Xenopus tropicalis: one gene and its partner. The protein of the gene in region 2 interacts with the protein of the main gene of each other region in a biochemical or structural test. Links are inferred from orthologs where the notes say so. Each region holds a gene or a part of one and is shown on either strand. Other genes may lie near its edges.

Region 1 (7,735 bases), on a different chromosome or scaffold from region 2:
CATTAGCTGGGTACTGTACAGAGCTGATATGGGCCCATTAGCTGAGTACTGTACAGAGCTGATATGGGCCCATTAGCTGAGTACTGTACAGAGCTGATATGGGCCCATTAGCTGGGTACTGTACAGAGCTGATATGGGCCCATTAGCTGAGTACTGTACAGAGCACTGATATGGGCCCATTAGCTGGGTACTGTACAGAGCTGATATGGGCCCATTAGCTGAGTACTGTACAGAGCACTGATATGGGCCCATTAGCTGGGTACTGTACAGAGCTGATATGGGCCCATTAGCTGGGTACTGTACAGAGCTGATATGGGCCCATTAGCTGGGTACTGTACAGAGCTGATATGGGCCCATTAGCTGAGTACTGTACAGAGCTGATATGGGCCCATTAGCTGAGTACTGTACAGAGCTGATATGGGCCCATTAGCTGGGTACTGTACAGAGCTGATATGGGCCCATTAGCTGGGTACTGTACAGAGCTGATATGGGCCCATTAGCTGGGTACTGTACAGAGCTGATATGGGCCCATTAGCTGAGTACTGTACAGAGCTGATATGGGCCCATTAGCTGGGTACTGTACAGAGCTGATATGGGCCCATTAGCTGAGTACTGTACAGAGCTGATATGGGCCCATTAGCTGAGTACTGTACAGAGATGATATGGGCCCATTAGCTGAGTACTGTACAGAGCTGATATGGGCCCATTAGCTGAGTACTGTACAGAGCTGATATGGGCCCATTAGCTGAGTACTGTACAGAGCACCTGGGCCCGTTAGGCTCCCTACCCGGCCGGCTGGACTACAGGACGTACCTCAGACAAACCCTCACACTGAACGTGCGCCTGAATCCACTCCAGTCGGTCTGAGTTTTCCTTCTCCCGAACCCCCTCATTCACTTGGGAACATAATTCTTCGGCTTTCTCTAGGGCTTGCTTCAGGTGGCTGTGGTCAGGGTGATTTTCTGGAGTATTTTCAATAATCTGCAAAACAGAAAATTAATACATATCATAAGTACAGATTATTAATCAAGGCTTCAGCCCATTATCAGTAATGAGTTGCGCTGGTGCTTATAATGCTAATGTGCTGCCGTACAGAAGGTACAGTTGGGGGGTACAGCGGGGGGCACAGCGGGGGGCACTTACACATACAGATCTGATGTTACAGATAGAAGCTAAAGTTTGGGGCACATTTAGAAAAACAAAAGGTTCCATACATTTTTAATGATGAGCGGGTATCTGGTTACTCTCTGCATGGGTTTGAGTAGGAAGCTGGACAGCGGCATTCCCTTACACCGGGGATCCATTGCAAGCCTCTGAAATGACAAGATTAAATGCATTTATATGTAACAGTCAAAAACATTTGTACAAAGGGGCAATATCCCTGCAGCGACCTCTACAGCCTAAAACATTGGTTTCTGGGTGTCTATGGTTGATGCCCTGTTTTGAGGCCCAACATTTGCTCTGGGGTTTCTCCCAACAAGGTTCCCAACATGACACCAGTGATCACACAGGAGTCCAAGGACTCAGTTAGTGGTTGTTATTTTACAAATTTATCCATGGGTGTGGGGAAGGGGGGGCTCTCTAATTTGTTCCCAGGACTTTAGGGTAGGTCTGAGATTTCCAGTTCATAGATATGGTCTGCTTTGCATACAGGCACAGTATAGATAATAGAGTCTGATGTGCCCTTTTGGGGCAAAATGTCTTTCATCTGGTACCATGGGGTCTATTGGTAAGGATAGATCTGTCTTAATATTGATCCGGTCTAGTAACTGAATTTATGGGCAAGACGATTCCATGTGTATAAATTCCGCTGAGGAGCATTAACATTGTGGACATTCTGGACTTAGTTCTGTGTTCATTCTGCATCACACTGGGTTTATAGAAGTATAAGAAAGCTAATAGGCATTCCCCCCAAAACTCATCTACCTGCCCTCAGGCCAGGCCCGGACTGGAAATCTGTAGGTTCAGGCAAATGCCAGAGGGGCTGCTGTAAGATTCCATAGACACTCACTATTTATTGAGCCGGGGGGGGGGGGGTGTGGTTTGTGCCTCTGTGTACTGGGAATGCCAGGGCCTATTTGGAATCCCAGTCCAGACCTGCTTCAGGCAGGGCCCACCGATTCCAAACTGGGGGTCCAGCTGAAGAGTTTGGAACCAATGCTCTAAACACACAATGTGCCCATTTAGTAGGAAGTCTTTGAGGCAGGGAGGCCGGGGAGAATGAAAGGCCGGGGGATGCAAGAAACTGTAGGAGATAAAAGATGAAGGGGTGAGAAGAGAGGCAGGAAGGGCAGGTAGGATCGGTGCAGGGGAGAAGCCAATACAGGGATAAAGAGATTTCCCCTGGTAAATAAAACATCCTGTGACTTTCTGTGCCAGGGAATGGCAACCCTCTGCATTTAGGCTTGGAAGCACAATAATACCCGCCGCCTGTGTGGTTATTAGGGGGGGCACATGAATCACTTACTTTCACAAACTCCTTGAACTCGGGCACCTCGTCCGTTTTCTGCTGAATGAGAGCGGCGCCGTTGAGCTGGCAGCTGCAGAAGCGAATGTACGGCTGCATGTGGGGCAACTGGGCCGTCAGGATGTCCCCGATCATCTTCACCGGCATCTTCTCCCCAGACATTTTCTTGCGAACTCGCAAGGCCCTGGGAGTGACAGAAACAAACTCTAATTATTACCCGTTTTAGCCATATTGTGCCAGTCTGGGCACCAGTCAGACCAATGTTACAATGTGTAACAACTGCTAATATCATGACAACTAGAAAAAAAACCATATTAAATGTAAATGGTAAAAATGCTTAGATCATCCAATCAAAGTACAAAGCAATATTCTAGGCTAAGTGCCCAGAGGATCTTACTTGAGCAGTTTGATATTGCACATTATCAGCTCCTTCCAGTTGACAAAAATCATGGCAACTTCCTTCTCCGTCAGTAATTCAGATTCCAGCAGAGGCTTTTGGAATGTCTGTGTTGTACAGGGGGAAACAGGGTGCACTGATAATTGGCGGCGATAAAAACCAGTTAATTGGTACTAGTACCTGTGATAATATAGCACAAAGTCACGCCAGTATGGCTAGCTGTTAGTTATAGGGTTAGTTTACCTTTAAATTGACTTTTAGCCTGACATGGACATTAATGTTCTGAGACAATTTGCAACTGGTTTTCATTTTTTATGGTTTTTCAGTTATTTAGCTTTTTGTCCGGCAGCTCTCCAGCTTGTAATTTCAGCAACTATCTGGTTGCTAGGGTCTTGATTACCTTAGCAACCAAGCAGTGGTATAAATGAAAAACTGAATTATGAACAGAAGAATACAAATTAAAAGTAACAATAATAATAATAATAATAACACTGTAAGCTCACAGAACAATTGTTTGGTTTTGGCTGCGGTTGTGGAAAGATGTAGAAAAGGAACAGAAATAATGCAAAAACTATAAAAAATAAAAAATGAAGACCAACTGCAAAGTTGCTAGGAACAGAATATTCTATAACATACTAAAAGTTAAACAATCCGTTTAAAAAAGAAGCAGCTGCCTATAAGAACTCATTCTGGACTGAGTGTTTAATTAGCTTAGGTAAAAATCCATAGAAATGCAGGTACAGGTATTGGAATCCTTATCCAGATCCCATTATCCAGAAAGTTCCGAATTACACAAGACCATCTTCCATAGTCTTCACATTTTTAAAAATGATTCCTTTTTCTCTGTAATAATAAAACAGTACCTGTACTTGATCCCAACTAAGATATAATTACCCCTTATTGGGGCAGAACAGCCCTATTGGGTTTATTTAATGGTTAAATGATTCCCTTTTCTCTGTAATAATAAAACAGTACCTGTACTTGATCCCAACTAAGATATAATTACCCCTTATTGGGGCAGAACAGCCCTATTGGGTTTATTTAATGGTTAAATGATTCCCTATTCTCTGTAATAATAAAACAGTACCTGTACTTGATCCCAACTAAGATATAATTACCCCTAATTGGGGGCAGAACAGCCCTATTGGGTTTATTTAATGGTTAAATGATTCCCTTTTCTCTGTAATAATAAAACAGTACCTGTACTTGATCCCAACTAAGATATAATTACCCCTTATTGGGGCAGAACAGCCCTATTGGGTTTATTTCATGGTTAAATGATTCCCTTTTCTCTGTAATAATAAAACAGTACCTGTACTTGATCCCAACTAAGATATAATTACCCCTAATTGGGGGCAGAACAGCCATATTGGGTTTATTTCATGTTTAAATTATTTTTTTTTTTAGCAGTCTTAAGGTAAGAGATCTGAATTATGGAGAGATCCCTTATCTGGAAAACCCCAGGTCCCAAGCATAACAGGTCCCATACCTGTACTAAGAAACAATTGCATTAATGACTAAAATGTGAGCCAATCATAGCCTTACATAGAACTATATGGTGTCAGTTGCCCAATAACAGAATACTGATAGAAATCCCTGTGTCTTTGCAAATTTATTGACAAATGGTGGCTCCAGGATGGATGGGTTGGAAAGAAATCCCGTATCCAGTAACTGGGAGTATGGCGGTTGTACGGACGCTCAAGTAGGGAGTCAGGAAGCAGCCTTGCCTGTAGGGAATGAGCAGCCTTGCCTGTAGGGAATGAGCAGCCTTGCCTGTAGGGAATGAGCAGCCTTGCCTGTAGGGAATGAGCAGCCTTGCCTGTAGGGAATGAGCAGCCTTGCCTGTAGGGAATGAGCAGCCTTGCCTGTAGGGAATGAGCAGCCTTGCCTGTAGGGAATGAGCAGCCTTGCCTGTAGGGAATGAGCAGCCTTGCCTGTAGGGAATGAGCAGCCTTGCCTGTAGGGAATGAGCAGCCTTGCCTGTAGGGAATGTGCAGCCTTGCCTGTAGGGAATGAGCAGCCTTGCCTGTAGGGAATGTGCAGCCTTGCCTGTAGGGAATGTGCAGCCTTGCCTGTAGGGAATGAGCAGCCTTGCCTTTAGGGAATGAGCAGCCTTGCCTGTAGGGAATGAGCAGCCTTGCCTGTAGGGAATGAGCAGCCTTGCCTGTAGGGAATGTGCAGCCTTGCCTGTAGGGAATGAGCAGCCTTGCCTTTAGGGAATGAGCAGCCTTGCCTGTAGGGAATGAGCAGCCTTGCCTGTAGGGAATGAGCAGCCTTGCCTGTAGGGAATGAGCAGCCTTGCCTGTAGGGAATGAGCAGCCTTGCCTGTAGGGAATGAGCAGCCTTGCCTGTAGGGAATGAGCAGCCTTGCCTGTAGGGAATGAGCAGCCTTGCCTGTAGGGAATGAGCAGCCTTGCCTGTAGGGAATGAGCAGCCTTGCCTGTAGGGAATGAGCAGCCTTGCCTGTAGGGAATGAGCAGCCTTGCCTGTAGGGAATGTGCAGCCTTGCCTGTTGGGAATGTGCAGCCTTGCCTGTAGGGAATGAGCAGCCTTGCCTGTAGGGAATGAGCAGCCTTGCCTGTAGGGAATGAGCAGCCTTGCCTGTAGGGAATGAGCAGCCTTGCCTTTAGGGAATGAGCAGCCTTGCCTGTAGGGAATGAGCAGCCTTGCCTGTAGGGAATGAGCAGCCTTGCCTGTAGGGAATGTGCAGCCTTGCCTGTTGGGAATGTGCAGCCTTGCCTGTAGGGAATGAGCAGCCTTGCCTGTAGGGAATGAGCAGCCTTGCCTGTAGGGAATGTGCAGCCTTGCCTGTTGGGAATGTGCAGCCTTGCCTGTAGGGAATGAGCAGCCTTGCCTTTAGGGAATGTGCAGCCTTGCCTGTAGGGAATGAGCAGCCTTGCCTGTAGGGAATGTGCAGCCTTGCCTGTAGGGAATGAGCAGCCTTGCCTGTAGGGAATGAGCAGCCTTGCCTGTAGGGAATGAGCAGCCTTGCCTGTAGGGAATGAGCAGCCTTGCCTGCAGGGAATGAGCAGCCTTGCCTGTAGGGAATGAGCAGCCTTGCCTGTAGGGAATGTGCAGCCTTGCCTGTAGGGAATGAGCAGCCTTGCCTTTAGGGAATGTGCAGCCTTGCCTTTAGGGAATGTGCAGCCTTGCCTGTAGGGAATGAGCAGCCTTGCCTGTAGGGAATGTGCAGCCTTGCCTGTAGGGAATGAGCAGCCTTGCCTGTAGGGAATGAGCAGCCTTGCCTGTAGGGAATGAGCAGCCTTGCCTGTAGGGAATGAGCAGCCTTGCCTTTAGGGAATGTGCAGCCTTGCCTGTAGGGAATGTGCAGCCTTGCCTGTAGGGAATGAGCAGCCTTGCCTGTAGGGAATGTGCAGCCTTGCCTGTAGGGAATGAGCAGCCTTGCCTGTAGGGAATGTGCAGCCTTGCCTGTAGGGAATGTGCAGCCTTGCCTGTAGGGAATGTGCAGCCTTGCCTGTAGGGAATGTGCAGCCTTGCCTGTAGGGAATGTGCAGCCTTGCCTGTAGGGAATGTGCAGCCTTGCCTTTAGGGAATGTGCAGCCTTGCCTGTAGGGAATGAGCAGCCTTGCCTGTAGGGAATGAGCAGCCTTGCCTGTAGGGAATGAGCAGCCTTGCCTGTAGGGAATGTGCAGCCTTGCCTTTAGGGAATGTGCAGCCTTGCCTGTAGGGAATGAGCAGCCTTGCCTGTAGGGAATGAGCAGCCTTGCCTGTAGGGAATGTGCAGCCTTGCCTGTAGGGAATGTGCAGCCTTGCCTGTAGGGAATGTGCAGCCTTGCCTGTAGGGAATGTGCAGCCTTGCCTGTAGGGAATGTGCAGCCTTGCCTTTAGGGAATGTGCAGCCTTGCCTGTAGGGAATGAGCAGCCTTGCCTGTAGGGAATGAGCAGCCTTGCCTGTAGGGAATGTGCAGCCTTGCCTTTAGGGAATGTGCAGCCTTGCCTGTAGGGAATGAGCAGCCTTGCCTGTAGGGAATGAGCAGCCTTGCCTGTAGGGAATGAGCAGCCTTGCCTGTAGGGAATGTGCAGCCTTGCCTTTAGGGAATGTGCAGCCTTGCCTGTAGGGAATGAGCAGCCTTGCCTGTAGGGAATGTGCAGCCTTGCCTTTAGGGAATGTGCAGCCTTGCCTGTAGGGAATGAGCAGCCTTGCCTGTAGGGAATGAGCAGCCTTGCCTGTAGGGAATGAGCAGCCTTGCCTGTAGGGAATGAGCAGCCTTGCCTGTAGGGAATGTGCAGCCTTGCCTTTAGGGAATGTGCAGCCTTGCCTGTAGGGAATGAGCAGCCTTGCCTGTAGGGAATGAGCAGCCTTGCCTGTAGGGAATGAGCAGCCTTGCCTGTAGGGAATGAGCAGCCTTGCCTGTAGGGAATGAGCAGCCTTGCCTGTAGGGAATGAGCAGCCTTGCCTGTAGGGAATGAGCAGCCCGCGGCTAAACGTACCTCGGTGACTAACTGTAAGTCATTGACATAGTTCTCCTCGGTGACAATGAGCTCGTGGATGTACCCTTGCCTCTTCCTCTCGGTGGGACTCAGCATGTCCAGGAGATGTAGGTCTGCACACCCTGCCAACGACAAGACATCCCATTGCAGATACAGGTCCCACTTTCAGAAGACACAAGTACGGGTAATTGCCCACGGGTGAATCACAACGCTGACCCAACAAACCCCCCTATAGGTATATATCTCTATATAATTACATACAAGTTTAAACAGGAACTTCAACTTCCAAACACAACTTGAGCTTTTTGAAAAGTAAACATAATTTCAAGCAACTTTGCAATGTACATCAATTAAACAATATTCAGCCTTTTCATGATGTTTAATGTAATAATATGGTTTGGAACAGTTCCCTAAGCCCC
Region 2 (8,411 bases):
CACCCACCCTGATCCCTACCTGACTTCTTGTTGACCTTTGCTGCCTGCCCCAACCTCTGCCTAACTTCTTGTTTAGGAACCTTTGCTGCCTGCTCCAACCTCTGCCTGACTTCTTGCTCAGGAACCTTTGCTGCCAGCCCCAACCTCTGCCTGACTTCTTGCTCAGGAACCTTTGTTGCCTGCCCCAACCTCTGCCTGACTTCTTGCTCAGGAACCTTTGCTGCCTGCCCCAACCTCTGCCTGACTTCTTGCTTAGGAACCTTTGCTGCCTGCCCCAACCTCTGCCTGACTTTTTGCTCAGTAACCTTTGCTGCCTGCCCCAATCTCTGCCTGACTTCTTGCTCAGGAACCTTTGCTGCCTGCCCCAACCTCTGCCTGACTTCTTGCCCAGGAACGTTTGCTGCCTGCCCCAACCTCTGCCTGACTTCTTGCTCAGGAACCTTTGCTGCCTGTCCCAACCTCTGCCTGACTTCTTGCTCAGGAACTTTTGCTGCCTGCCCCAACCTCTGCCTGACTTCTTGCTCAGGAACCTTTGCTGCCTGTCCCAACCTCTGCCTGACTTCTTGCTCAGGAACCTTTGCTGCCTGCCCGAACCTCTGCCTGGCTTCTTGCTTAGGAACCTTTGCTGCCTGCCCCAACCTCTGTGTGACTTCTTGCTTAGGAACCTTTGCTGCATGTCCCAACCTTTGCCCGACTTCTTGCTTAGGAACCTTTCCTGTCTGCCCCAACCTCTGCCTGGCTTCTTGCTTAGGGAACTATTGCTGCCTGCCCCAACCTCTGCTTGACTTCTTGCTTAGGAACCTTTGCTGCATGTCCCAACCTCTGCCTGACTTCTTGCTTAGGGAACTATTGCTGCCTGCCCCAACCTCTGCTTGACTTCTTGCTTAGGAACCTTTGCTGCATGTCCCAACCTCTGCCTGACTTCTTGCTTAGGAACCTTTGCTGCATGTCCCAACCTCTGCCTGACTACTTGCTTAGGAACTTTTGCTGCCTGTGCTAGTGGGCCATTATCTATGCTTGATTTATAGCTTATTTGCCACTCTGCTTTGGACATTTTTGGTCAGTGCATTATGAATAGCCCCATTGGTAAAGAACAGATCAACATTGGGCTGAGCTGCAGGAATATTCTCCTACCATCTGCTGCTCTGCACGGCGACCATATGTTATGACAAGGACTCAGCCCTTTCATAGCACCTCAGAAAACAGGAGAATAAGAACAGATTTCCCCAGCAGGTCACTCTGGTGCTCCCCCTACTGCCATATTACACCATGGCAAATGGCACCTCCCCCAGATGTATACATGCAAATATACAGAGGAATGTTCTGGGCACACAATAAGCTGTACACTCATACTGTACGGTCTAAGGAAAAGAATATGGCACCTCCCTCCCATATGTATAAATACAAATATACAGAGAAGGAATGTTCTGGGCACACAATAAGCTGTACCCTCATACTGTACTGTCTAAGGGAAACAATATGGCACCTTCCTCTCGTATGTATAAATACAAATATACAGAGAAGGAATGTTCTGGGTACACAATAAGCTGTACCCTCATACTATACTGTCTAAGGAAAAGAATATGGCACCTCCCTCCCATATGTATAAATACAAATATACAGAGAAGGAATGTTCTGGGCACACAATCAGCTGTACCCTCATACTGTTCTGTCTAAGGGAAAGAATATGGTACCTCCCTCACATATGTATAAATACAAATATACAGAGAAGGAATGTTCTGGGCACACAATAAGCTATACCCTCATGCTCTACTGTCTAAGGGAAACAATATGTATAAATACAAATATGCAGAGAGATGGCAGTGAATGTCACACAGCTGATGGTGTGGGTGGATTTAGTTAAATTTCATCTGTTAGATTTCTTTGTGTTGGTTACTTAAGAGTTAGAATATAATTTTCTCCTTCCTTATAATAAAAAGTGCAGCATGGGACCTTTTAACCTTTTATCCAGAATGCTTGGGACCTGGGTTTTTTTTGGATAAGGCATCTTTCTGTAATTTGGATCACCATAAATTTAGCCTCCTATACAATAATTTTTAGTTTGACGTAGAGAATGCTATTCTAATAAAAATTGTAATTGTTTTTATTATTTGCGATTTTTGACAACTATCTGGTTGCTATGGTCCAATTTGACCTAGCAACCAGGCAGTGATTTGAAAGAGAGACAGGAATATGAATAGATGAGGACCTAAATAAAAAGATAAGTAATAAAAAGGAACAATAACAATACAACTGTAGCCTCACAGAGCAATAGTTTTTTGGCTTCTGGGGTCAGTGACCCTCATTTGAAAGCTGGAATGAGTCAGAAGAAGCTAATAATTAAAAAAAAACTATACAAAATAAAAAATGAAGACCAATTAAAAAGTTGCTAAGAAGAGGCCATTCTATAGCATACTAAAAGTTAACCTGACCACCCAGTAGGATTGTTTTGCCACCAATTCATGATCTCTTTCTCAGGATAAAGTACAAGGGAGTCTATGAACGATGACCTTCCCATAATAGTTTTTGGATATTGGGTTTCCAGATCAGAGATCCCATACCTGTACCTACCTAACAGTAGGATAAAGGCAATGACAGGTACATTGTGTAGGTAATAACCCTATAGAACAGGGGTAGGGAACCTATGGCTCGAGAGCCAGATGTGGCTCTTTTGATGGCTGCATCTGGCTCGCTGCCAACTCTTTAATAAAATAAATAACGGGGGTGTGGCCTGCGCTCGGCGGATAGAAGATATGTTCTAAGCCTTAGAACACATCTTTTATCCACCGAGCGCAGGCCACACCCTCCTCCGCATCCGGCATCCTTGGGACACACCCTACCTTGCCCCGCAGCATCCGCGGCCAAACATATTGTATGGCTCTCGTGGAATTACATTTTAAAATATGTGGTGTTTATGGCTCTCTCAGCCAAAAAGGTTCCCAACCCCTGCTATAGAATGACTCCATTGTAAGAATGGAGGGGGAGAATAGTACATATGCTGCAATCTCAGCTTCAGCCAGCAGGTGGCACTAGCAGGCCAGTTCAATAAAAGCTGTCTCAGAGCAGGCATGTAAATTTATACATCACATATTTGCCATGCATGGCAGATGGGTATTATATCTGTGCCTGTATATAGTACATAACATTTATATATGATGCTGAATCAACACTCCCAGTGAAATCCCAGGAACAGAGCACTCACTTCTGGGAAGGCAAATCCTGTCCTTGTTCGGATCAGATGCTGAAACATTTTTACAACAGTATGGAGAGGAAGGGGGTCATTTACTTCTTCAAGCGTGCCTAAAAATTTGATTACTGGTGGCACAAAAGCTGTTAAAGGGTTACATAAACTCATGTGCAGAAGGAGTGTAGCAATCAGTGAGTGCTGGCTTATACTTCCTGCCTTGATTTGGAGTGTTTTTGATGAGTCCTGGTATAATTAGGGTTGCCACCTTGTTGCTATTTTACCAGTCTGGCTGGTAAAAATTATGCTTGATCCCCATGTTATTAATGGAGAAACTAAATACATAGAAAATATATTTTACCACAAAAGGTGGCAACCCTAAGTGTAAGAAGGCCCCTATATTGAATTTCAGGGTTAGTAATAGGGCTCCCCCTAACCCGGCTTTTTATACAATATCTGTTCCTTTCTACATCATCTGGGGCTAAAGCTTTCTTCCAGTTCCTGGTGTACCAAGAAAGGCATATTTGCACATGAGCCACCTTTGTTGACAGCATTGCTGCAAGTGACAATCTGTCACTACACAATCCACATTACACTTTGCTGCACCCTTAGCGCATACTCTTTAGCATGACGCTCCCTCTAGTGGCGGAAGAAGCAAAATGCAGTTAAAATCCCACCCCCTCATCATCCTGTCAGTGCTGCCTTAGCGCACACTCCTTAGCATTAGGCTCCCTCTTGTGGCAGCAGTTGCACATTGCCGTTTAAATCCCTAAGGAGCAGCGTATGCGCTTGAGTTGGCAGTCTGGGGAAGGCGCAGAGCGCACATCCAGGAGGAGGAGAAGCAGGAGAACGTCGATCTTAGGGGGTCCTACACATCTGTCCCCGCTGCCTTTCTCTGTCACTGGGGAAAAGGTGTAAGAAGCATATTAGATCGACGTTCCCAGGCTGAGGCAGACACAAGGCAGCCTTCCATCATGGGCAACCGAGGAATGGAGGAGCTGATTCCTCTGGTTAACCGGCTTCAAGATGCCTTTTCATCCATAGGACAAAATGCCAACCTGGACCTGCCACAGATCGCTGTGGTTGGGGGTCAGAGCGCTGGAAAGAGCTCGGTTCTGGAGAATTTCGTTGGCAAGTAAGTAAGGAAGATGATGGCTCACCTACCCGCATTATAATAACCTAAGGAGATGAGGAGGGGGGCAGTATAATATGTTTATTAGCAGATATCATTCAATGGCGACTGGGCTTTATTTGGCATTTTATTATCGCGATCTGTTGCCTAGAACGTTTTATCGCGATCTGGTCGAATAGAATAACGATGAATAATGGATATGTGTGCAATCTGAGACCCAAGGGTAGGATTCACCTTGTCCAACAGGCACAGCACAGAGAGGGGTCATCAGATATGGCATTGTCCTTGTACAGAACAGGCATTCCATGGCATCGCCCAGCAGGGCATCCTGGGGGTCCCTGACTGTATATTATTAGCGGGGTACCTAGGATGCATGGATATAAACATGCTTTATAGGGGCGAATGGAGAGGAATGGAGAAATAAAGATGGGGGAGGTGTTATAGGATACAGTGTGTCTCTTCTGCAATGAAGGAAGGGGGAGGGGGGGGAATTATAGGACCAATGTTATCAGTCTGCTTATACAGGGGGTAAATATGCCTTGATATAAAGTCCATATACAGCCCATTGCTGTACAGAGCAGAACTAGGCAAATACATGATACAAAGATGAGGGATGAATTGAATGAAGCCTTTGCGTTAAGGGCACCTTTAACTGGCACTGCAGTATTATTTGTTTTTGGGCTAAGACATAGGACGTCTGTCTTTTGGGGCTTAAGGCACCTTTCTTTTTTAGACCAAGCAGTTGCCCCCCCCCCCCTTCCTACTTAATATAAGTATCCTATTTAAAATAAATAAAGCGCCCTCTATATCAATTCTAATGTGACGGCATTTTGTTTACATTGACAAATACATTGGGACTCCTTCCAGCCTGCAGAGACATATGGAAGCTATCTATCATCTATCTATCTATCTATATATCTATCTATCTATCTATCTATCTATCTATCATCTATCTATCTATCTATCATCTATCTATCTATCTATCTATCTATCTTTATATACACACACACACATGGAGTAATGGCTCAATGGATCTGCCAGGCTGACGCTGCAATCATTATGTGTATTGCTTGGTTGTGATGGGATATCCCTGGTTGGTGCATTAGGCAGTGATGGTGCAGTTGGACTGGCGTTAATCAGTTGCAGGGAGTGCTGGCTCCTCAAGGTGACACTGGGAGTAGTAGGCACCGTCCCTATGTATTTGACTGAAGGGGTCAGATGGAATTGGATACTGACATGGGAAAAAGGTGCAGGGATTCTGCACTGAATAAATATTTTGTCTCTGTTAAACAGGATGTGCCCCAGAGCTTTAAACCTGAGCAGGAACAAGGCTATGCTGTACAATTATCATATTACATAGCCTTAAAGGGGAACTACAGCCAAATACAATGTCTTTATCTAATTAATGAAAAAGTAATTCTATGCAACTTTTCACTGTCAGTGGTTTGAAAGTTATATGTAAATGCAATAGCCTGTGAAAAGAAGGAAAAGGGTTGCTCGTTGGGGGGGGGGTTAATTTGTTAGGTGTCCCCAGTGAATGTATTGGGTAACCTCAGACCCTGGGCCAGTACTTCTCATTGCTGAAAAATGCCCGGCCTGTTGAGTACAGTTGAGCTGCCATCTTCTGTCTTGCCCCAGGGATCCATTGTGGCAGCCCTGAGCAGTCACAACCAGCAGTGCAGAGAATATAAACAGCCACATCCACAACAGAAGGTTTTGGGTTAGAGATTCCAAAAAAGGTCTTGGGTTGGAAATGTCCCTTTAATTAGTAATGGCAAATCAGATGCTGGGTGATTAGCCAATAGCTATGTGTTGCGCTTAATTACTCTGCTACCTGCTTTACACTAGCAAAGCCTCCAAATGAACTGTAGGGTTAAATGAGATTACAGGCTGTGAGCGCAGTCTCTGGAGAGAGCTGGAAGCAATAAGGGATACCAGCTGCTCCTGTAACCAGCAGGAGATTTGTGCTTTACCCTGGCTGTATAATCTCTATGTGCTAAGGACGTGGGGGGTTATTTTTTTTTGGGGGGGGGGGGTGTAATAGGCAAATATATATTTTATTTGATCTAAATAAAATAAGTATCTTTTTTTGATTAAATGTTCCTGGTGTGCATCAGCATTTTTTACATATTTACATTGTTTATCTGATTTGCACCCAGGTTGTAATCCCTATAAGTGTGTGCCTCAGCCTTTTTCTATATATATATATATATATATATATATATATATATATATATATATATATATATATATATATATATATATATATATATATACTGAGATATCTAATTAGGGAGGTCAATATAAGGGCCAAACAGTTGTAGGAAAAGGCTGGGGGCATAGTGGGTAAAGAGGAGGAAGGCAGCAACCTTTGGGGGAGGCAGATGGGCCACTGACTGATACAAAATGAATAAAGTTTTCTTATATAAAGTTCCCAAGGGGGCAGTAACTTCTAGGGATGCAGCTGATGGATATAGTAAGAGAAGACATGATGGCAAAAAGACCTTTCAGTCTGTATCCCCTCAGCCGCTGTTGGCATTACAGCTATATGCAGACCAAGGCTTTCTGGGGGGTAAGATTCTGGGATTTGTAGTTGGACAGTAGCTGAAGGCCTATAAGCTAGAACCGAGCAGTATGTGCTTTGCCAGCCTTGTATTCATATGTATAGACAATGCACAGCACTTTGTATGTTCAGCCATTATGATAGCGTATATTGGTGGTAGCAAAGTGTAACTAGTGGGTGCTAATTTGTTAGACATTCACTGTGAATATTGTCACTTGGATCTCAAACTGTTACCCCTCTCCCCTGAAAAAAAGCACCAGCACAGGGTAGATTTCCTTTTTGTATCTATGTATTTTAGCAGAGTTATTCTGCAGGAAGAATGGCTTACTTCCATGTGGGTGTAGCACCCCCACACCTGTCCCTTTAATGGTGGTCTTATGCCTTTAAAAAAATGGGTGTTGGATAATGGGCAGTCTTCTCCTTTACAAGCTGCAAGCCTGTAGGACCAAACTGTGGTCCTGGCAATCTCTCCCTATAAAAGCTGAAGGCATGGGAGTGACTACGCCCTCTGACTCAAACCAGCCCCCAGGTCAAGAATGGCAGTCTTTGAAAAATATGACCAGAGGTAAATAAATGGACCACCATAAATAAATAAATGGACCACCATACTGGGTTTACCTTAACGTGGTATGGTGGCTTACCAATCTTATGATCATAACTTTGTAACTAAAACCCCCTGTTTTTTGTAAATACATGCACTAGCATAGACAATTTAATTATGAAACAGGGGACCAGGGAATGTGCATTGATCAATCCCCCTCTCTTTTTGTATGCTTGTAGATTTCCTCTAAGCACTGCACTGTCACGGCAGGGTCCATGGAACTCTTGTGGCTGCCCAGGGCCATTTACATGCATAGTATAGTAAAATCAGCAATGTCATGGGTCAGGGCCCCAATACTAAGAGCATGGTTGCTTCCATGTTGTACCAAGAACACCCAACCCCTCTAGACCATCATTTGTGTTTCTTGCAGGCATCTGCTTGTCAATAACATGCATGTTCTATCCCTTTAATTACGTGTTTCATGGTAGCACTGACAGATTTACCCTTTGTGTCCATTACTGTGACCCTCATTTACTAACAAAAGTGCATAGTGCCCCCCCCCCCCCCCCCCCCCCCCCCACAGTTCAATAACCCATATTAACTAATCAGGATCAGTATTGTGCAGTTTATATGTTGCTGCAGTGTAAATGAAACCTGGTGCCTGGTAGAAATAACCAGTTTGGCATATGATTGCCATAGAAACAAGTAACATGATGCAGATACGCTAATGACATCCCAGTGGAGGTTCAATATGGGGGACCTTACCGTCTCCAGCAATGACCTCTGTACCCATCTATGTCTAATATTGGTCCCTCCACAGATTTTAGAATATATAAAGGGTGCAGGATGCATATTTACAGCCAAACCCCACATTTAACTTCCTGCGTTCCCATAGATTCCATTGGGTGCTTTTCATCTTCTTTTCCCTCATTTTGCACCAATATTTTGTACGAGTTTTCTGTAATGATACCAGTTAGATAACAAAGCTGTT

The links. The genes of interacting proteins can lie anywhere in the genome.
Region 1: the proteins of dnm1 (region 2) and itsn1 form a complex in vitro, tested with the Homo sapiens proteins (2 studies listed by BioGRID and IntAct, with this or other methods). The link is inferred for Xenopus tropicalis from reciprocal best matches to the Homo sapiens genes DNM1 and ITSN1.

Annotation. Positions count from the first base shown.
Region 1 is NC_030678.2:14,210,288-14,218,022, reverse strand, and holds part of itsn1 (intersectin-1), read right to left. Parts: intron 7,439-7,735; coding exon 7,317-7,438; intron 2,972-7,316; coding exon 2,865-2,971; intron 2,652-2,864; coding exon 2,468-2,651; intron 1,314-2,467; coding exon 1,215-1,313; intron 982-1,214; coding exon 814-981; intron 1-813. UniProt on the Homo sapiens protein: Adapter protein that provides a link between the endocytic membrane traffic and the actin assembly machinery. Acts as a guanine nucleotide exchange factor (GEF) for CDC42, and thereby stimulates actin nucleation mediated by WASL and the ARP2/3 complex.
Region 2 is NC_030684.2:22,789,714-22,798,124, reverse strand, and holds the start of dnm1 (dynamin-1), read left to right. Parts: upstream 1-3,984; 5' UTR 3,985-4,158; coding exon 4,159-4,319; intron 4,320-8,411. UniProt on the Homo sapiens protein: Catalyzes the hydrolysis of GTP and utilizes this energy to mediate vesicle scission and participates in many forms of endocytosis, such as clathrin-mediated endocytosis or synaptic vesicle endocytosis as well as rapid endocytosis (RE).